Linked DNA regions of Nothobranchius furzeri. The protein of the gene in region 1 purifies or fractionates together with the protein of each later gene. This does not show direct contact. Links are inferred from orthologs where the notes say so. Each region holds a gene or a part of one and is shown on either strand. Other genes may lie near its edges. The genes, in order: vps4a and zfyve19.

What was found.
Region 2: the proteins of vps4a (region 1) and zfyve19 purify together in Homo sapiens (affinity purification with mass spectrometry; 3 studies listed by BioGRID and IntAct, counting the BioPlex papers as one, with this or other methods). This does not show direct contact. The link is inferred for Nothobranchius furzeri from reciprocal best matches to the Homo sapiens genes VPS4A and ZFYVE19.

The regions. Positions count from the first base shown.
Region 1 is NC_091744.1:86,346,696-86,350,969, forward strand, and holds the start of vps4a (vacuolar protein sorting-associated protein 4A), read left to right. Parts: upstream 1-1,450; 5' UTR 1,451-1,639; coding exon 1,640-1,660; intron 1,661-2,091; coding exon 2,092-2,203; intron 2,204-2,282; coding exon 2,283-2,427; intron 2,428-2,518; coding exon 2,519-2,580; intron 2,581-2,980; coding exon 2,981-3,100; intron 3,101-3,297; coding exon 3,298-3,454; intron 3,455-3,565; coding exon 3,566-3,714; intron 3,715-4,020; coding exon 4,021-4,102; intron 4,103-4,189; coding exon 4,190-4,274. UniProt on the Homo sapiens protein: Involved in late steps of the endosomal multivesicular bodies (MVB) pathway. Recognizes membrane-associated ESCRT-III assemblies and catalyzes their disassembly, possibly in combination with membrane fission.
Region 2 is NC_091758.1:34,203,316-34,207,735, reverse strand, and holds the start of zfyve19 (abscission/NoCut checkpoint regulator), read left to right. Parts: upstream 1-1,594; 5' UTR 1,595-1,735; coding exon 1,736-1,789; intron 1,790-1,885; coding exon 1,886-2,007; intron 2,008-2,091; coding exon 2,092-2,148; intron 2,149-2,224; coding exon 2,225-2,391; intron 2,392-2,467; coding exon 2,468-2,634; intron 2,635-3,585; coding exon 3,586-3,694; intron 3,695-3,794; coding exon 3,795-4,007; intron 4,008-4,125; coding exon 4,126-4,202; intron 4,203-4,357; coding exon 4,358-4,420. Other genes in the region: bub1bb (mitotic checkpoint serine/threonine-protein kinase BUB1 beta), read right to left, coding at 1-175, 257-401, 490-549, 650-792. UniProt on the Homo sapiens protein: Key regulator of abscission step in cytokinesis: part of the cytokinesis checkpoint, a process required to delay abscission to prevent both premature resolution of intercellular chromosome bridges and accumulation of DNA damage.

The DNA.
Region 1 (4,274 bases):
TTGCTGTAGTAGCTCAGAATAATAATAATAATCAAGTCATCAAAGAGTTGTTGTATATTACAATGGCTGTTGGCAGGAAGGATCTCCAGTAGCGGTCAGTGTTGCAGCCAAACTGAAGAAGACTCTGACTGAAGACACTCTTCCGTTGTCGGACAGTCTTGTGACGAGAATGCTCAGGGTTGTCCATCATTTTCTTGATTCTCTGGAGAATCCTTCTTTGCATTATCTCCTCCAGCGGTTCCACAGTCGTCCCCAGAACAGAACCAGCCTTTTTTATTAGGCTGTTGAGCCTTTTCAGGTCCCTGCTTCTGATGCTGCTACCCCAACAGACGATGGCTGAAGAGATTACACTCTCAACAACAGACTTGTAGAAGATCTGCAGCATCTTGCTACAGACATTGAAGGACCTAAGCGTCCTCAAGAAGTGCAGCCTGCTGTGTCTCTTCTTGTAAACGGCTTCGCTGTTCTTTCTCCAGTCCAGTCTGTTGTCCAGGTGAACTCCAAGGTATTTGTATTCCTCAACCACCTCCACTTCTTCTCCCATGATGGAAACAGTGTTTGACTCCACCAGCTCCAGTATGTCATCTTTCTTATGATTTAGACCAAAAGGAAACCGATTATTTGTGTTTAATTGGGTTTTATTTGGAGGTTCTACTGGTTAGATTATAGGGATAGAGTTTTAAAAGACTAATCCATAGATGTGGTAAATTTAGTCATTATGGTATTTATTTATTGCCTTTAGTAATGTCTCAGCTCTCATCAGTTTTTCATTATTTATTAATACTTGTTTTATGAATGTTTTAAAAAAAATTATACAAGCTAGGTTTTGAATGTCAAATTTGTCCATTTTAGAGCTTTATGCATTACTGTTACAGCTTGTTGGTGAAGATACCATTTATTTAGAGTCCTTACGTTTCTTTAACAAAATACTGCAAAGCTTGAAATTAAACGGGCACAGAATAGTATCACAGCAAGGTAACACCAAAGGGCAATTTATTTATTTATTTCGTATAAACGTGAAAACCGCTTTTTGAATGTGACTTATTTCGTTCCTCGTGGGATTTTCCCTGTTCAAAAATTTCAACGTGCGTTGGAACTAAATTAAAAACTTGCTGAAATAGGCTTATTTAACCTATTTTTATTTTGGTTTCAAGTGTAGTTGCTCACTTTTACCGCTAGATGGCAATAACTTAAGTTAAACATTCGGAAGACGTCACGTTGGTTTCCTTTGACCGGATGTTATCTTGTTTTATTTTTAAATTAAAAGCCTGTGCTTTCGGAACAAACTTGTTTAAGCGTAAAAAGTAAATTTAAAAATATAACTACGCAAAGATTTTGAGTATTAATTTTATTTTGTGGTTTTTTTGTTGAAAATTGCATGTGCAGCTTACACACCTGGACCTTGATTAAAGTATTTTGAAATCTGTAACCGGACGTTTGTCTCTGTGTTAGCTAAATTGCTGAAAATAACATTAGCGCTGTTGCTACCGCGCTAGCCACTGTTCTGTATTGTCATGTCACGAATAATCAGTGCCTTTGAGAAATAGAGTTGCAAGCGTTAAATTTTTTTTTCTTGAATCCAACTTTGGGTAGGGTCAGAAAATAAAAATCTGGGTGGCGAACGGAAGAGTGAGATGAAATGACAACGTCAACATTACAGGTAGGATGCTAACGTTAGCGGTCTGTAACTGGATATAACCAGTAGCAGCTTGTCGGTCTTAAGCTAACCTTTGAGTTTTAGCTAATAATGTGTATTAAATAAAAGACAATACACTGGATACTTGTAAATGAACGTGTAGTCTACAGTTGCAAACTATCTGCATGAAAGTGATTTGAACGACTAGACAAGCAATTAGCTATAATATAATAAGCAATTGGCAAGACCTGCATCTATTATTTACTTGTAATGTAGGAGCTTGTTTCCATTATTATGCATGTTTTATTTTATTAGATCTCGCAAGAATCATTCTGCAATATCTAGATGTTAGTGTTTGTCTTCTAATTGCATTTTCATAGCCGCTTTTTATTTCAGTTGTTGTATCTTCACCGATGGATCCTCTAATATCCACCCTTTCTCTGTGTCTACTGCAGAAAGCGATTGATCTCGTCACCAAAGCCACAGAGGAGGACAAGGCAAAAAATTATGAAGAGGCTCTGCGCCTGTACCAGCATGCTGTGGAGTATTTCCTACATGCCATCAAATGTAAGTGAAGGACTCCGGCACCTAACTGTAACCAAGGCGTGGTTGCATAGTTAGCTGATGCTGTGATCTTGTTGTCCAGATGAGGCCCACAGCGACAAGGCAAAGGAAAGTATACGAGCCAAGTGCATGCAATACCTGGACAGAGCAGAGAAACTTAAGGACTACCTGAAGAATAAAGACAAACAGGGGAAGAAACCTGTCAAGGAGGCACAGAGCAATGACAAGTATGGTATCACTTTAATTAGAACACATGGAATAATAAACTGTTGTCAGATTTTGTTTGTTTATATTTTCTGTGTTGTTTGTTTGCTCCAGGAGTGACAGTGACAGTGAGGGTGAAAACCCAGAGAAGAAGAAACTGCAGGAGCAACTTATGGGTAGGAGTGGTTTCATCTTTTTTTAAAGCTGTCTGCAGCCTGAAGGAAAAAACTATTCTTGTTCATTTCTGTTTCTTCCTCTCGGATCTGATCTGTTTTGCTGCATGTGACCCAAAATTCACTCTCAGTAAAGCACTTAGAAGGAAGGATACTTCCTCTGAGAACATTTAAATAAAAACATTTTACAGAAAAAATGTAATGCTCATCTGGCAGTGGAATGCTTCAACAAAACACAGAAGTTACGTCGCACTGAATGCCAGTCACCTCTGCTCGTAACTTGGATCTCTTATAAAAGGGACTGAGTGTGAAGGGAAGTTTAAATGAAAAATAGAGAAATCATATGAGAGTGCAGTAGTTTTGTGATGAGCCATGTCATCTTGGTCATGTTGTGTGTTTGTAGGTGCTATTGTGATGGAGAAACCTAATGTCAGGTGGAACGATGTTGCTGGACTAGAAGGAGCAAAGGAAGCATTGAAGGAAGCGGTCATCCTGCCCATTAAATTCCCCCACCTCTTCACAGGTGCTGTTTGATTCAGACTGGGTTTAGATCGTCTCTACAAGTTTCGGTTTCTTTACAACCGATGCACAAAGTAATGCCTCAAACACAAAATAGGAGGCATAAAAGCAAATTTAGTACTTTCTTAAAAACTAAAGCTCCTCTTTGGACATTTTTTTTTTTAACATTTTGACTTATTCCAGTCGTGACTTTGTTCTCAGGAAAGAGGACCCCATGGAGAGGAATCCTGCTGTTTGGTCCTCCTGGAACAGGGAAGTCGTACCTGGCCAAGGCTGTGGCCACAGAGGCCAACAACTCCACCTTCTTCTCCGTCTCCTCTTCAGACCTCATGTCCAAGTGGCTGGGAGAAAGTGAGAAGTCAGTTAGCAACGATGTTGGATGATGCTTTCTGTCACGCGTAACAACTTTGGCGTACTAAAGAGGCTGAAGTTGCTCCGACGTTTAAACTATATTCTTGGTCTCTCGCAGATTGGTGAAGAATCTGTTTGACCTGGCTCGCCAACACAAGCCCTCGATCATCTTCATTGACGAGGTGGACTCGCTGTGTGGCTCCAGGAATGAGAACGAGAGCGAAGCTGCCCGCCGCATCAAGACAGAGTTTCTGGTCCAGATGCAAGGCGAGTCAAAAAGGAGCTGTGCATGAATGTATTTCATCATAAACACGAGAAAATTATGTAGTTTTAACACTTTTTACACAGTAATTTCATTTGATTGCGTTTTAGATCATTTTTAAAAGCCAAACAGAGAATTATTTTCCTTTGTTATAATGAATAAAATGTACAACAGATAATTTGGCAGTATTATTATGGATGGATATTATTCTCATAACCATTAAATCTAACATATTTGAACAAAGTTTTCTCCTCTACGAGCTGAAATAAACGTATCGTTCATTAAAGATTCCTCTTTCTGTTTTTTGTAAGGTGTGGGTAACAACAACGATGGTGTTTTAGTGCTGGGAGCCACTAACATCCCCTGGGTGCTTGACGCTGCCATTCGTAGAAGGTCAGAGGTCACTTCATTCCCGCCGTTCTTTCCTCCTTGGCTCATGTTACTGGATTATTTAGTTCCAGCTGGTTGGTTTTGTGTCAGATTTGAGAAGAGGATTTACATCCCTCTGCCGGAGGAGCCGGCCCGGGCTCAGATGTTTCGACTTCATTTGGGAAACACGCCACAC
Region 2 (4,420 bases), on another chromosome or scaffold:
CAGATGGCTCAGTGTGCACCTTGAAACCTTCTTGATAAACCAGGTCTGCTTTTCTGTAATTGCCTTGATTTTCATACTCTTCTGACCAGGCGATGTAGAAGGACGCCTGTGTCAATCCGATTCCTTTAGCTTGCATGTACCTGTAAACTTCCAGAGGCTCGGGGCAGTTCTCGGCCTGGTAGCGCACACAAACACCTAAAGTTGTTACTTCTGCCTTAGTCTAACAGAACAGCAGAATAAGAAAACTAGAACGTACAAATTTGATCCACAGATCAACATAGCGAGGGTCGTTGTGATACATTGATTCTTCTGTGAATCTGGTCACAGCCCGCTCCAACAATGTGGCGAGGTTGCTTTCTCTTCCACCCTGAAGGAAGGTTTGCTCTGTCCACTTGACATAACTGTAAAATCAGAACCGAAATTGTCCAGATGAGTGGGATAGTTAAAGATCCTTAACTTTAAGACAATATTTTTAAATATTTAACTCACCAATCCCAAACATGAAGTGGATCGTCTCCATCGTACATTCGAAGCTCAGACTCAAAGGCCCTAAAGAAGCAAAAGAGCAAAAAGTGCATTATATTTTAAACTACATACAAAAGATGTTCCAATTATTTTAGAAATACTAAAGTTTAATGGATTATCTTACTGTCTCTGTTGGTTGATTGCAGATGTGGGTCCATCTTGCTGCTGACTGAGGGCCTGATGTAAAGCTGATATTGCTCTGCCCCGCCTCAGCGGCTGGATGTTTTCTTTGCTAAGCTCCCAATCCACATCTTCTCCTTCTGCCATTGTGGAAATAAAGACCGGTGAACTGCAGGAGAAAACACATCATTCAATAATTCAGTACTAATTATACTTAGTTTATGCACCAACATCTGAGGGAAAAACACACACACACACACAAACTTGTAAGAATGAAGTATCTGGTGCAGACTGTTGCTGATACTCTAGAGTAAATTTGCACAAAAGCTTGAACATATTTGTAAACCTAGTAAATTACGTTGCACGTGAGCAAATACTCTACAATAAAACCAATGCAGTTCATTTCTGCTCAAAGCCCAAAAGCAAGCACTCTTCTTTCAATGCATTTTACAATCTTTCTTTTTAATGTTTACAATTATGACTCTTAATTCCAAAGCAATACATAAAACCAATTTTAAATATTTTATTGTTTTCAAAAATGCAAACACAAAGAAGTAAAAAGTAAAATAATATGGATGAAATAAGCAAATCCTGAATTAGATAACAGAAACTTTCACGATGCTAAAAAGTTAGCTACAAAAACACAATAAGCTAACACGTTAGCTAGTTATTTGTTGCTTAGCCGTGTCAATTATCCCAATACATAAAGATTTTCCAGTTAAAACTAGTATAGCGTTAACATTAATCGACTAACTGTGTGTTTTCATACCACTTTTAGAGTTTCTTTGTCTCCTTCGCCGATTACTTGCAGCTAACGATGAAACAGGGACAACGTTGAAATGGAGACCTGTCTTTTAAACAAATCCCGCGAGAGGATTTGGAGATAGCTGATTGGAGGAAATACATAACAGGAAAAATGCCAACTACTTCATACATCATTTCCGGTTTAGTTCCTGTTTTGATAATGCATCGTTGACAAGCTGAAAACAGATAGCTAATTCAGAAATTATTATTGCTTTAGCGCTTTTCTTCACCTGTTGGAATTACGTAAATTGTAATCTTACGGTTTCATGACGCTACACGTGACAGCATGGACAGTCGCTGTTATTGTTGTGCATCAAAGTTTAGTCTCTTCAAGAAAGAGGTATGGATTTACTAATAAATCAGCAATAAATATGTACGCGTTCGTGTGTTTGTGGACACGTGGTTAATATCTGGATTGTGCTGACTTCTATGATAGCTGGGCTGTAAGAGCTGTGGACGAGCCTTCTGCTCCAGCTGTTTGACTTTTAATGCTGTGGTGCCTCGCTGTGGTAACACCCAGCAGAAGGTCTGCAAGCAGTGCCATGGTAATTTGACAAGGTAAACCTCACCCGACACAATAAACCCCAAATTAATTATTTTCCTTTAATTATCTAAAACCTATTTTATCCTTTTTATTTTTAGAGGGGAGACTTCTTCACACAATGCTGGAAGATGGTCTCCTCCAGAAAATTACAAAAAGTTAGTGTTTGACCACGTTTGACAAAGAGGCCGTTACAGAAGTTTCATACTATCTAAAGTTCTGTTTTTTCCACAGACGAGTTGCTGCGCTGGAGGCAAAACAGCAAGGACAGTCGACTCAACCTGCCGTACACGGGGGAAGCAGAAACAGCAAAGTAGGCCATCTACCAGCAAAAGGCCTGAGTAAAGAAGACCAAGCTATTGCTGAGAGACTTCAAAAGCTGAAAGAGGACACTAAACCTAGTAATGAATTTAATCATCAAGCATTTAAAATAAATCTGAAAAATGCTAAACAGGATCTTTTAATGCAAAGCAATAGATTGCTTTTTAATCATTTCTTCAGGGTCCATTCCTTCAGAGAAGGAAATCGAGTCACGCCTTGCTGCTCTGAGAGTCCCCATCCAACCTGTTCCTTCTACAGAGGAGATGGAGAATCGTCTGGCTGCTCTGCGAAGTCATCCTCCACCATCTCAAGCTCCTGCTCCTGTGAGTTTTCCTCTAATTTCTTCTATCATGATAATGATAAATGGCCCACACTTGTATATAGGGCCACTCTGAGTAAGGACTCCAAAGCGCTTTACACTACAGTGTATGATTCATCCATTCACACAAACATTCACATCTTTACTGATGTAGCCACACCACACCCTCCGACCACCACCAGCAGGCAAGGTGGGTTTAGTGTCCTGCCCAAGGACACAACAGCAGAATTCTCAGTCCAGAGCGGGGATCGAACCTGCAACCTTCCGATTACTGGACAACCCGCTCATCCTGTTGAGCTACTGCTGCCCCAGTTTTCTATAATTGTTGTTGTTGTTTGTAAATGAAAATTTACTCTCAAACATTTTACCTGTTAAATTAAAGGTGGGAAAATATAAAAAAAATTGTACTCCTTATGCAGCTCAGCCATATTCAGTGGTTGGAAAAATGGCATTGAATTAAATGTGTTGCTAACAGAGTTCTTTAGTAACGTATGATCAAATTAATTACGTTGTTTCCAATACTGACAAGAAAATGTAGCACGCTACTATAATTCAGCAGCAAGGTGTGTTGAAGCTGACATCATGTGACCAGGAGCTAAAGGGATGGAAACAATCTTACATGTGCTGCTAATTTTCTTGCATAATTTATTTAGAAAAAGTAACGAAATACTTATTTTCCTGGTAATTAGAAACTTTTATTGCATTGTCATTCCATTACTGACTCAGTTACTTTTTGTAGTAACTATAGTAATTACTTTTTCAAAGTAATTTGCCGAACACTGGTCGTATTTTAAAGTGTTGAATAATTCAATGTAATGGTTTTTAATTAACTTACATGTTCGTGTGTGTGTGTGTGTGTGTGTGTGTGTGTGTGTGTGTGTGTGTGTGTGTGTGTGTGTGTGTGTGTGTGTGTGTGTGTGTGTGTGTGTGTGTGTGTGTGTGTGTGTGTGTGCAGGTGCACCAACCTCCTGATACCCGGACTCAGACTGAAAAAGCCAGTGACTTGTTAACCCAGCTGACGGAGGAAGTTGCCATTGACAACCAACAATCAAATCCTGAACTCAGTTAGTGATCACAAGGGTTAATGTGTTACCAAAAAACCTGTTTCAACAAGCTTTAAAAGGCAGAAATCCCCGTCTAAGTACAGCAAACACTGTCTTGCAGGCATAGATATGAATGATCTGAACAAGGGGGAGGGGGCTACGTTGGATGAGAACATGGAGGACAACCAGGGAGCAGTCAAACAGCTGGAGGCAGAGAAAGAGCGTCTACTGGAGGAGGCCATGAATGAGCTGAGGAACGAGCGACATACCCAGGATCAAATCCTCGACATGGCCAAGAGGCTGGCCCAGTTAAAGGGCCAGGATCCAAATAAAGGTGCTCAGAGCTGTTTCCACACCCACCTTCTCTCAGTCACGAGATCATCGCTGCAGCTATGACAGAACTGTTGATATTCACATTTTCATTAGCTGACATTTTGGTGTTGCACACTTAGTCACTGCAGAGGATTTCCAACAACCTGACAGTGAAGAGGAGACTGAGGAAGAAGCTGTGAGGAGAGTGCTAAAACAGGTCAGGGAGACGACACATTTATCACTACACCCACATGTTGTGGTTTACTGTTTTAGACCTTTTAATGGCTGCCACAAGAGGCTGCTGTTAGGCCGTTTAATAACTGGTAATGACAACTGGCATGCTCTGAACTTCCTGTTCTTGGTTGGCTCCAGCTCTCAGAAGAAGCTGCACTCGACGAAGCTAGTGGGTACAACATACCCGTAGAACAGAGCGGC